Linked DNA regions of Macaca mulatta. The protein of the gene in region 1 interacts with the protein of each later gene in a pairwise test. Links are inferred from orthologs where the notes say so. Each region holds a gene or a part of one and is shown in the gene's direction. Other genes may lie near its edges.

Region 1 (4,274 bases):
ACTCTTAACTGCTTCCCATTTTTAGTTCTGGCAGCTCTCTCCATATTTGTGGAAACGATTTATTGGATTATCAATGTAAGGTATTATCTGTCGACTCACTGCTAAAATAGATCAGGATTTAACTAACACTCCTCTCCACCTCTTCCCTCTTTCCGAATTTCTAACAGTTTATTACCTTATGTTCTAGAGATAATCTTTCAATTATATACTTAAACCTCGATTTTTTTGTTTCGTTGCTCAAAGTTTGCTAGATATTGGCCCTGCTGTCTTCCATCAGCTGCAATTTTACCTTTACGTCAAGGTTGAGAACATTGACCTTCAGGTCTGTCATCCTGCTTAAGAGTTTCCGTGCTTTGTCTGTAAGATGGTGCTAAAAGCTTTACTCATGAGCAGTATTTGCTGGGTTATGTCGGTGGAGGACAGCGTGCTCTGCCTTGCTGGCTACTAAGTGCTGGGGCTGCAGCCTGACCCCTCCAGGTGCAATGCCACGTCCCCAGATGCTTAACTTGTGGTCTAGAGGTACCTTTTAAAAATCGTTGCAACCCTGCTTACAATTTTCCCCCTCCAAGTGGACAGCTTCGGGCATCCCTCACTGCCCCAGATTCTCAACGGGGTCTGGCGCCCACCGTTTTAGGGAGCGTAATTCCCAGAGCTCAGATGTCAACGAGACAAGAGCTACCGCTCAGTGGGCGTTTTCTCAGCCCTAAACTCCCGATCGACTCCGAGTCTCCTTGCCGGACCCGGAGCAAATCTCAGAGTCAACATGCGAGAAGCGGCAGCCGGGCGGCGGACCTCCGGCTTCCGGCACCCTCGCGCTTCCCGCCGGCACGAAGGACGCCTCTCGACAACCGCCCGCCTCTCAGAGGCCGAAGTCCTAGGCCCTCCGGCCTGCGCTGCCTGTCCACGGACGCGCTGGCCTCGGGACACCCACCAAAGCGGCAGGACTCGCCTCCGCCAGCTCCACAGCCCGGAACCTAGTACGCGCTCCTAGGAGCCGCACAGCGCAGATCAGGGGGCGGGCTTTCGGCCGCACCCCTTCACTGTTTCCCCGCCTTCTTTGTTTATTCGGGGCCCGTCATTGGCTGCTTGGCCTCGAAACCGGGCGAGCCGCGGGTCTTTGGAGAGACGCTATTGGACGAAGTCCCTGTCGCTCGGCCAGCGGCCCGCTCGCGATTGGTTGAGAAGCCGCCGGGGGTTTGAATCGCATCCCCGGCCGGGGAGGGTTCTGCCAAAGTGCCACGTTGGGCCCGGCGGCGGCGTGAAGACCGGCGGCAGCGTGAGAACCTGGCTCCCTACGTTCGCGCCGTAACGCCCGGCCGTTGGGGCCGTTGGGAGGCGCTAGGCGAGTCGAAGCAGCCGGCCGGTCGGCGGCGGTCGCCGGCGGGAACGGGGCTGAGGCGGCGCGGCGGAGCCTGGGCGGCGGCGCGTCCCGCCCGAGGGCGGCTCTGGCTGAGGGCGGAGGGGCCGGGGAAGAGCCCGGGGCAGCGGCTGAGGCGGGACGGCGGCGGCGGGGACCGTTGCCCCTAGAGGACCCAGCCGAGATGCTGGCGGAAAACCTGGTGGAGGAGTTTGAAATGAAGGAGGACGAGCCGTGGTACGACCACCAGGACCTCCAGCAAGGTGAGGGCGGGGGCGCCCCGCGGGCGGGCGGGCGGCGGCGGCGGCGGCCTGGCCCGGGAGGCCCCCGCTGCGAAACTGTTAAAAAGTTGCTTTTTCTGGCGGCTGAGGATGCAGGTGCCGGGAAGGGCTCGGGCTCACCTGGCGGCGGGGCCGGCCGTGCCCGTGGATCCCGCCCGCAGGAAGCCTCGGCGCGGGGCCCACGGCCCTGCTAATGCGCAGTTGAATATCAGACCCGAGGCGCATGGGGGCCAGGGACGCGCCAGGCACCGTTTTAAGCGCTTTCCGTGGATTAGCTAGTTTAATCCTCACTGCATTCCTCCGAGGCAGACCGGGTGAGCCAGTGTGTCCCGTAGTAAGTGGCAGAGCCCGAGAAGCCGCCCCCTCGCAGGCTGTGTAGCCCAGCGCCTTTCTTGGCCAGCACGGAGGGCCGGCTGCTGCAGGTGGTAGTGGTTTTGCGATGTAGCGGGAGCTGTGCGCTCTGCGCCGTAACTCTAGGAGACAGTAACTTTTAAAAAATTGATTAATTTTGAGGGTACATAGTAGGTGTATCTATTTATGGGGTACGTGAGATGTTTGGATACAGGCACGCAGTGTGAAATAAGCACGTGATGGAGAACGGGGCGTCCATCCCTTCCAGCATTTATCCATTGAGGTACAAACAATCCAATTACACTGAGAGTAACTTTTGTTATCCCATTTTCCAGATGAGGAAAGCGGAGGTTGAAACGGTTGAGTGGCTTGCCTAAAGCTAAGTGGGGGAGGGAGTGGTTTTTTGAACCCACACACTCAAAAGGAGGAGTTGTAGTCACTCCTCAAACCCCCATCCCTTCCTTACCATCCTAGTTAACAGTTTTTTTTCAGTTGGGAATTAAGCTGTTACGCATAGTTCACCAGATGCCAGTTGAAATGACAGAAGAGCGCTTCTACCTCTGCCACTTTTCTTCAGTTTGCATGCCAGCTTTCACTTAGAAATAGGCCTGCCGATGGTGTCTCCAGAGAACAATCATAGAGCAGCCAACACTTTGGGGCCAGTGGGGCCCCACTTTTTTTTATACTAATAGCAGGAGCTAGCAATTGGGGAACACTTTTGATGTGCCTAACACTGATAGGCCCATAACAGAGTTGCTCATTTATCTCCCAGTAACACAATAGAGGTGATAATGTTGGGGAGTGCTAGGGTTCCCCTTAAGACTCGAGAGCAAACATTCTTAACCGCTATACTGAACACTGTGAATAATCCTCAGGAATTTTTCCCGGCATCTTTGGTTTCTGCAATTCTATGTAAATGTTTTCAGCTCTAATCTTGCAGTGAAAATTAACATCTCATTTAGTTAAATATTGAATGATGCTGATGCTTGTTCATGCTAACCACTGAACATGGCAGATGCTTGTTCATGCTAACCACTGAACATGGCAGATGCTTGTTCATGCTAACCACTGAACATGGCAGAAGGAAACTGTGTAGACTTGAGTAACTCAGAAAAGGAAAATAAAACGAGCACCTCTTTTGGAGGAAGATAATTTCTTAAATTAACATGCAATCACTTTAACCAAAGTAATTCACCTTTATTACGCTTATAGAGTCCAAGCTGCTTAGTGGTTGCAGTGCAGTGTTTGGTGGCATCATCTTTATGTCCAAAGGACACATTTCTCATACGTTTTAACAAACCTGTTTTCAGATTTCCCCATAGGGATTGATGGCCTAGTTTGATAGTTTCTCCAGGATTTGTGAGGCAACCACTGTGCCATTGCAGTATTTCCCTATAATTTAATTTGTATCATCACAACTAAATATTTTTCTTTCCTGTATTTAAGAAGCATAGGCCGGGTGCGGTGGCTCACGCCTGTAATCCCAACACTTTGGGAGGCCGCGGCGGGTGGATCACAAGATCAGGAGTTTGAGCCCAGCCTGACCAACAAGGTGAAACCCCGTCTCTACTAAAAATACAAAAATTAGCCAGGCGTGCCTATAATTAGCATGTGCCTGTAATCCCAGCTACTCAGGAGACTGAGGCAGGAGAATTGCTTGAATATAGAAGGCCGAGGTTGCAGTGAGCCAAGATGGCGCCGCGGCACTCCAGCCTGGGCGACACGAGACTCTGTCTTAAAAAAAAAAAAAAATTTAAGAAGCATAAATCCTTAAGGGTATAGAGGGGGCAGGTTCTTTTTTCTGGTATTCCCAGCATCTAGCATAATACTTGGCACATACTGGAAGCTCGATTTTAGTATTTGTTGAACTGCACTGAAGCACTATCACAGAAGTGTTTTCATGGCTCTCTTCCATCAGGTGCCTTAGTCCACGCTGCGTTCTCCCACTGTTGGAGGTTGTTTGGAACCACCAGCTGTAACACTTCAGTCTATCAAGCAGCAAGTGCAGCGTGTCAGGGTTACAGGTGGAATTCTCTTTAACCTCTGATCAAAATAAAGTCATCAACTCTTCAAGTTTAACGTTAAAAACACAGGTCTGGCCAGGCGCGGTGGCTCACGCCTGTAATCCCAGCACTTTGAGAGGCCGAGGCAGGTGGATCACGAGGTCAGGAGAACGAGACCATCCTGGCTAACACGGTGAAACCCTGTCTCTACTAAAAATACAAAAAATAAAAAATTAGCCGGGCATGGTGGTGGGCGCCTGTAGTCCCAGCTGCTTGGGAGGC
Region 2 (3,647 bases), on another chromosome or scaffold:
GTGTGTGTGTGTCTGCATCTCAGACCTGCTGCGTGGGGACCGGTGTTGTCTGATACGGCTGACCCCTGGAAGCAAGCGGACACTGAGTGCCCACCGATCTGTCCCCCGTAGTTCAGGCAGCCCGAGAGGCCGCCTCGAGTGAGTGTGGGGCAGCACGCAGGGTTCTGAGGGTGTTTAAATACAAGGGCTCGGGGGATTTCAGGTGTCAGGCTTCCTTGCGCAGCTCAGTTTCCTTCTGGAAACAGTCAGATGTGGTGCTGAGATCCATCCTCCATGCACTGCAGCTCCTCTCTCTGCCAGGAACTTGGCTTGTCCCACCATCCCTCAAATCTGCCCTTCAGCCTGTTCCCCACAGGGACAGATGAATTGCGCATCCAGAGAGACCCCTCGATTTGGGGCTTTGGGATTGTGGGACGTTCTTTCACAGTCTGCAAAGGAGCGCCACTCAGTCAGTGCCTTCTTCTGAGAAACTGCGCCCTTCCTAGTCTAACTCCAGACCCCCACCTCCTCTCCTGAGCCTTTTTATGCCAGTTCCCACGTCCCTCTCTCCCCTCTTGCTCTCATCTCCAGCCTTTGCTCTGCTCACATTCATCCCTCTTCTGGCTCCCTTGCCCAAGCAGCTCCATTGCCCAAAACCAAGGAGTTGTCCTGGCCACCCTCTCTTCCCTCTCCATATGCAATCTGTCCCTGGGCCTGGAGCTGCTTCCTTTTTGCTGTCACAGAAACCTGTCCTTTCTCCCATGCCTTAGCCAGACGTGGAGCCGGCCTCACCCTTTCAACCTCTGGCCCGCCTGCCTGCCGCAGGGCATGTGTCTAAAACATGCACCTGCTTGTCTTCAGCCCAGAGTGCCCTTCCCACAGCCCCACCTCGTCTCCGGCACCCTGCGTCCCTGCTCTCTGGCCTTCCACGCTGTAGCCCTGCTGACTCCTCACAGCTCCCGGAGAGCACTGAAGTCAGCCTTACACCCCGTTCCACTTTGCCCCACTACCTGGACGCCCCTTGCATTTGCCCCGTCCTTTTAGTGAATGTGCAATGAGTAATGCCTGTGCCACATGGATGAGTCAGAAGGGGTCCCTACCCCCCTGGGAACTGCAGACTGCAGGAAAGATGGATACATGAATGGCAACCACAGGAAAGCCAGAGGACGGCGGGGGACTGGAGGAGGGCACATTGCACTATCAGGAAGATCAGCTGACCCTTCCTGGAAAAGGTGGCATGCACAGGAGGCCCACAGAGCCTCTCGCAGTGGCCGAGGAAGGAAGAGAGGCAGTGGGCTGGAGGCGAGTGTGGCACGAGGGACGCAGAGCCGGCAGTGCGCTGGGGAGCAGGGTGGCAGGGAGAGAGAGGGAGGCTGCAGGGGCGACATGGTCAATTGATGGAAGGGCTCTGCAGCAGAGGCAGGATGGCGGAAGAGCACTTGGGGGACGTTCAGCAGGGGAGTGACCAGGTCCACTGGCCCGTGTGAAAGCGCACCCTCACTGCTACATGAAGAAGATTGCAGAGAGTTGACGCTGGAGGTGGGGGCTTCCCGGGGGCCATGCTGCCATCCAGGCAGGAGAGGCCAGGTGGGACCAAAGCAGGAAAGGCAGGAGGTCGAGGCTGGAGAGAAGCAGCACCGTCCAGAGGCGTTTCTCATGAGCAGTGCGCGGGCAGTGCTTGGCGGACGGAAGTAGGAGTTTGGGGTGTGACTGGACAGCTGGCCAGAGAGAGGTTCCAATAGCCAAGAGTGGGTCCTAGAGAAGGGAGAGGCTTGGGAGGAGCTCTCTGCGTTCGGCATTGGGCCTGCTGTGCTGGCCTGTGAGGTCTGACAGGAAATGAGGTCAGGGAGCATCTAGGGAGTCCCACAGGAGGGAGGATGCCACGGTTCTTGGGGCCCCATAGTGGGGCAGGTCATGCAGGACCCGTGGAATCCTGCAAGAAGGGAGGTCATGGTGTCCCTGAGATCCTGCAGAAGGGGAGGCCATGGCATCCCTGGGATTCAGCAGGAGGGGAGCTCATGGCACGTCAGTGGGATCCCACAGGAAGGGAGGTCACAGAGTGTCCATGGTATCCCAGGAGGGAGGCCGTGGCATCCCTGGGATTCAGCAGGAGAGGAGGTCATGGCACATCAATGGGATCCCATAAGAAGGGAGGTCACGGAGCGTCCATAGTATTCCAAGAGGGAGGCCATGACATCCCTAGGATTCAGCAGGAAGGGAGGTCCTGGAGTGTTCCCAGGATCCGGCAGGAGGGAGGTCATGGCACATCGGTGAGACCCTGCAGGAGGGGAGGCCGTGGCGTGTCAGTGGGCTCAGGCAGTGAGCATTGTGGACGTCGATGTCTTCCGCTGGGTGGGTGGTGGCTGTTTCTCTCAGCAGTTGTGGCTATGAGGTCAGCATTGGCCTCTCCTTCACACTCAGGCTCCCCTCTGCAGACTCGGTTGACACCTGCGGCTTCTTTTCTGTTTCTCGGTGCCTGACGCAGAAGAGGTGCTTAGTAAACCCCAAATGTTAGTCAGCCTCCTTCCCTGGGCCAGGTCACCTTGACCCCGGGCTGGGGTCCTGATGGGCATTATTTTCTCAGCACCGTGGATAGCGCCCAAGTGCCTGTTGTGCGGGAAGATGAAGGCGCCTGCTGGCCTGTGGCAGGGCGATAAGATGCCTTGAGTCCCTGATTGTCTGCCCCAGAGGGGGGTGGTTGGCAGCATCCCTCCTCCTGTCTGATGAGCTCAGAGGCCCCGGCTCTCTGTGCTTCATGTATTTCCTCTGCCTTGCAGATCATCCCGAAACCAAGCGAGCCGGCCCGGCAGCCGGAGAGTCACCCAGAGGAGACGGAGGAGGAGCTCCGTGAGCACCAGGCTCTGCTGGACGAGCCCTACCTGGACCGGCTGCCGGCGCAGAAGGAGGCGCACGCACCAGCTGGCGTGCAGGTGAAGCAGGAGCCCATTGAGAGCGATGACGAAGAGGCAGAGCCCCCTCGGGAGGTGGAGCCGGGCCAGCGCCAGCCCAGTGAGCAGGAGCTGCTCTTCAGACAGGTGACTACAGGCAGGGAGGGCACCAGCAGGCTGGCACGCACAGCCACCCTCGATCCCCGGGCAGCATCTTCTGTGTGGTGATCACGGGAGCTGCAGGGCATCCTTGTGCTGTCGCTGTCCAGTGTCTCACCCGTCTTGTCCTGGCCAGTGAGGGAGGTTGATGTGGCTTCTGTTTTGTCCCAGCTGTTCCTAGCGATTCGAGATGTTTGCCCACTGCGGGTGGTTACGTAACTGCTTTCCAGCCATGCACAGGCCCCAGAGAATGGGTTTCCTTCCTGTTTGTAGGCTGTAAATGATCACAGCATCCACGTGTTAGTGAGATACAGCATGCTTTTTAAAGAAGTGAAGGAAATAGAGGTATTAATTGATCAAAAAGACAGGCAGGGTCTGATCAGAAGTCAAGACCTTTTGTGGCCCAGTGGTGCTAATGAGCAGCCCTGCAGATCCAGACAAGACGGGTACGATCGTGGCACCCAGAGCCAGTAAGGCTTCAGGGCACTGACACCCAGTAACCAAATGCACAGGAGCCTGATGAAGAAGGCCAGTGAATGATTGGTTAATTTCCAGTGAAACATAAAACTTCTGAGTCAACAGAAATACCTGAGGCATTTGGGCAGCCAGCTGGAGCCCCGT
Region 3 (3,647 bases), on another chromosome or scaffold:
TATATGCTTATTCAGAATGTGGCATATCAGGGCTTATTTGTTTTAGAATTCTTAAATATTGTAAGATACAATTATTATACCAAGCCCTATCATTAAACTCCTAATTATAGGCAAAGAAGAAATTGAGAATTCCTACATAAATATTTTGGAATTTAAGATTTATACTTTATAATTATCTTTTATTCAAATACTAGTAGTTGATTTAAGTTAAAGTAAATATTTTTAAGTTTTAAAATTGTGTGTATGAATGTGTCTATATATCATAATGAAATCTATCCTTATTATAGCATGGGTTTAAATTTCTGATGAAATGATGGTGGTAACTACATTTTTTTCTTTAAGTAATAAGTATTTGCAGAATGTAGTGTTAAGCTTCTGGGTACTATTTTATACATTAATATAAGACAATGGACTTGGAAAGCTTGTTCCACTCTAGTTCTTTCATCATCCACCAACCCCCAAAATCATCAGTAAAAGTAAAACCTCAAATTGTATAGTAATCTTAATCTATTATTAAAAGGCCCTAGAAAGAAAGATTACAAGGTAGATTCAGGTTTTGAATCGGTTTTGCCATTGGTTTAGCAGCGGGTGGGCAGGCAGATGCCTGCTCAGAGTAGAACCTATTGCCATTTTTCACCATTGATAGAGTAGCCTTTCAGAGTCAATGAGCTCTGTCAATGTGAGCTTGTCAAGGCTACAACTTCATAGACCTGAGAGGCGGTTTGAGAGGTCAGCCCTTTTCAGGTTCGCTGTGATGCAAATGAACTTTAATGCTTAAACAACTATTGGAATTTTTATGTCTGCTCCTTGTTCTTTTTTCTTCACAAAGTCATTGACGAGACATTCAGTGCTTTTTAAATTGGAAGTTGCATTGTGCTAAAGACCTAGTACAGATTTACGGAGGGCTGAAAGCAGTTAGATCATGTTCTTTTCATGGTGCGATTAGAATCAAATCGATTTCCCTACAGCCTTCAGCATTCAGATGGCAATTTTAACAAAGCTTGGGGGCTAGACAAGGGACAAAACGACCGAACTGAATGTTAATTACACTCTGCAGCCTTATTTTCTTTTGATTTGGGGCTGACTGGCAACTAAATTAACAAAAAGTGTGACCATAACTGCTGCCCTATTTTCATTTAAAAGGAGAGCTGCCTCTAAAAGGCTATCTTTACAAAGAAACAAGTGAGGTCTGCTGATCATTGTTAACAAGGGCACATTTTTTTCTTTAAAATTCTTGCCAAAAAGACTCTTCAAAAAAAAGTAATGTAATAATAAATTAGTCATTGGCATATGATTACCCAGAGAAGTAGCTGATTTTCTGAGTTTTGTGACATAAGCTTGGAAAACGTAAGGCAGTAGTCGTAATTCATTGGTAGTTATGAATTATAATTGGCACCTATGTGACTTTGGTGTGTCTTTAGCATGTTTAATATGCTAAAAGGTAAAGTAACTATTTAAAGTAGATATTTTAAATACATGTTAAAATTTTATTATGTAACATTAAACTGTTCAAACCCAGCTTGATCCTAACAGTTTTGCACCTAGCTAATCCTTGCTTGACATGCACATTTTCATATTTGATTACTAGTACTTCCTTATACCACATTAATAGTGGTAAGATGTTTTTTTCTTTCCTTTGCAAGAAAAGTGCAGCTGAACCAAGTTGCAGTTGATCCTGGTGGCAACACTGTCATTTTTGCACCTGCAGCTGTGTCAGTCTCATCCTAACACCTGGCACCATGAATTATCTTCTTTTATCCATACTCCCAAGCAGGAAACATTTCTTGCAGCATAGCGTATCTTGCTTGCATCAGTCAACTGAAGTAAATTCTCAGTTGATTCCTGAAACAGTAATATTGAATTAAGAGTTTGATTTTACTATCAGATGGCACTTTTATGTTGGTTTAAATAAAATTTTGACTCTTCAAAAAAATCTATTGGTAGAATAATCAGTAAGCTGTCTTTTAAATATGGGCATTATTTTAAGCATGGTGTGAAAATTAGTTTGATTTTATAATTCATTGATTTAATATTAACTTCCAATTTTTTGTTTTGGAACTTACTGAAAGGCCATTTGCATTTTGTTAACTAATATTTACTTTTGTTGTAAAATATGTATTAAGGAGCTTCTGTTACTATTTAAGTATTGGAAACATATTTTTGAAAAAAGTGGGGATTTAATTTTATTTGGCAGATGACATTAGCTTTTAAACCTTGATAGTTTTAAATCAGAGGCTAGTAAAAAAAGATTCATATGATAGAAATAAAGCCATATCTTTTTAAAGAAAGAGAACTCTTTGTGTTCAGGTTACCATTTAGTGCTTAGAAAATGGATAGTGATGCACACCACACTATACTCAGTCACTGTCTTACACCTCTTCCCTTTTCACAGAAAAAGCAGCTGCAAAACAAAGTTTTCTAAAACCAGTCAAGAGTAAACTTTTTTCTCATTTGTCTTCCAGACACGAAGATCGATTGAGAAGTTATTAGAATGGGAAAACAATAGGTTATACCACAAGGTGAGTACCACAGGGAGCAGCTTCGTACTGTTGGGGTCTGAATTGCACAGTATGGAAACAGATGCTTTTGTTGAACTAAAAATATGAAAGGTGGACAAATGGGTTAGTCTGTGTGCTGCAATAAAATAGAGCTCATTTTTCTTCTTTTACTCTCCTACTTGTCTAGCTGTGCTTGCATTGGAGACTGAGCAAAAGGAAATGTGAAACGAATAACATGATGGAATATGTAAGTTAAAGGGCTGTTTTGTGAGTTTCTCTATTAAATGATCATTTATTTTGCTTCTGATCTTATTCTTTCCATGATTATTAATCAGCAAAGGTGTCAGGAGCTTAATCTCCTGAGTGCAAGGATTTTCTACGGTTCACAGATGCATGGTTTCATGTGCAAGACTGATTTATAAAGTTATGAATGACTTGAAAACAAGGCTTCACTGTGTTCTGAAAAATAATAAATTAATTGCCAAGATAAAATAGGCTGAACATGTGTTGATGGAGTGTGAAATTTTAGATGCTGTATAAAGAATAACCACAACTTTGGTTACGCAGCAAGTCAGATATGGCTTTTTTATATAATGCTAATCAAGTTTCCAAGTATGGAAGAAAACCTTTCAGCCAAGCCATTGGAGCTTAAGAAACCTTTAGCCTTTATAGATTTTAACTGTCCGTACCTCAGTGCCCTTTAAAGAATCTGTTTTAAAGTGTTATTAGAATATCGCTTTGTAAAAATTAAAAGTAAGCAGGAAATGAGATGTTGATCATCTTGTGTTTACTTGTTAAAAAATATCTAATTTGGCATATATATACAATGAATTTTGTACTTACTCAGCATGGGATTTAATTTACTGACTCCATGATTTACTTGAGCAGTTTTTCTCCTTTTGAAAATTTCAGAATATTCTAGAAAATTAAGAATTTTAATTTTCTTTTGAGCTTGAGTACTGTACTTTAAATATGGCCAGGTTGTTACTTTAGAAGAAAAAGATCTAAGGAAAAATTAATTGTTGAAAGTAAAACTCAGAGCCTTTGTGAAGTATCTGTTATAACATTTCTGAGGAATTTTGCCTATTCTTTAAAACAATATAGCCATCATAGATGTGTGTGTGTGTATGTGTAAAATATTGATTAAAA

What was found. The genes of interacting proteins can lie anywhere in the genome.
Region 2: the proteins of CDR2 (region 1) and HDAC4 interact in binary tests that used the Homo sapiens proteins (3 or more experiments, as listed by UniProt). The two-hybrid records come from large-scale screens. The link is inferred for Macaca mulatta from reciprocal best matches to the Homo sapiens genes CDR2 and HDAC4.
Region 3: the proteins of CDR2 (region 1) and CHIC2 interact in binary tests that used the Homo sapiens proteins (3 or more experiments, as listed by UniProt). The link is inferred for Macaca mulatta from reciprocal best matches to the Homo sapiens genes CDR2 and CHIC2.

What each region holds. Positions count from the first base shown.
Region 1 is NC_133425.1:21,841,755-21,846,028, reverse strand, and holds the start of CDR2 (cerebellar degeneration-related protein 2), read left to right. Parts: upstream 1-1,466; 5' UTR 1,467-1,541; coding exon 1,542-1,620; intron 1,621-4,274.
Region 2 is NC_133417.1:144,361,855-144,365,501, reverse strand, and holds part of HDAC4 (histone deacetylase 4), read left to right. Parts: intron 1-2,756; coding exon 2,757-3,014; intron 3,015-3,647. UniProt on the Homo sapiens protein: Responsible for the deacetylation of lysine residues on the N-terminal part of the core histones (H2A, H2B, H3 and H4).
Region 3 is NC_133410.1:79,479,588-79,483,234, forward strand, and holds part of CHIC2 (cysteine-rich hydrophobic domain-containing protein 2), read left to right. Parts: intron 1-2,462; coding exon 2,463-2,519; intron 2,520-2,685; coding exon 2,686-2,745; intron 2,746-3,647.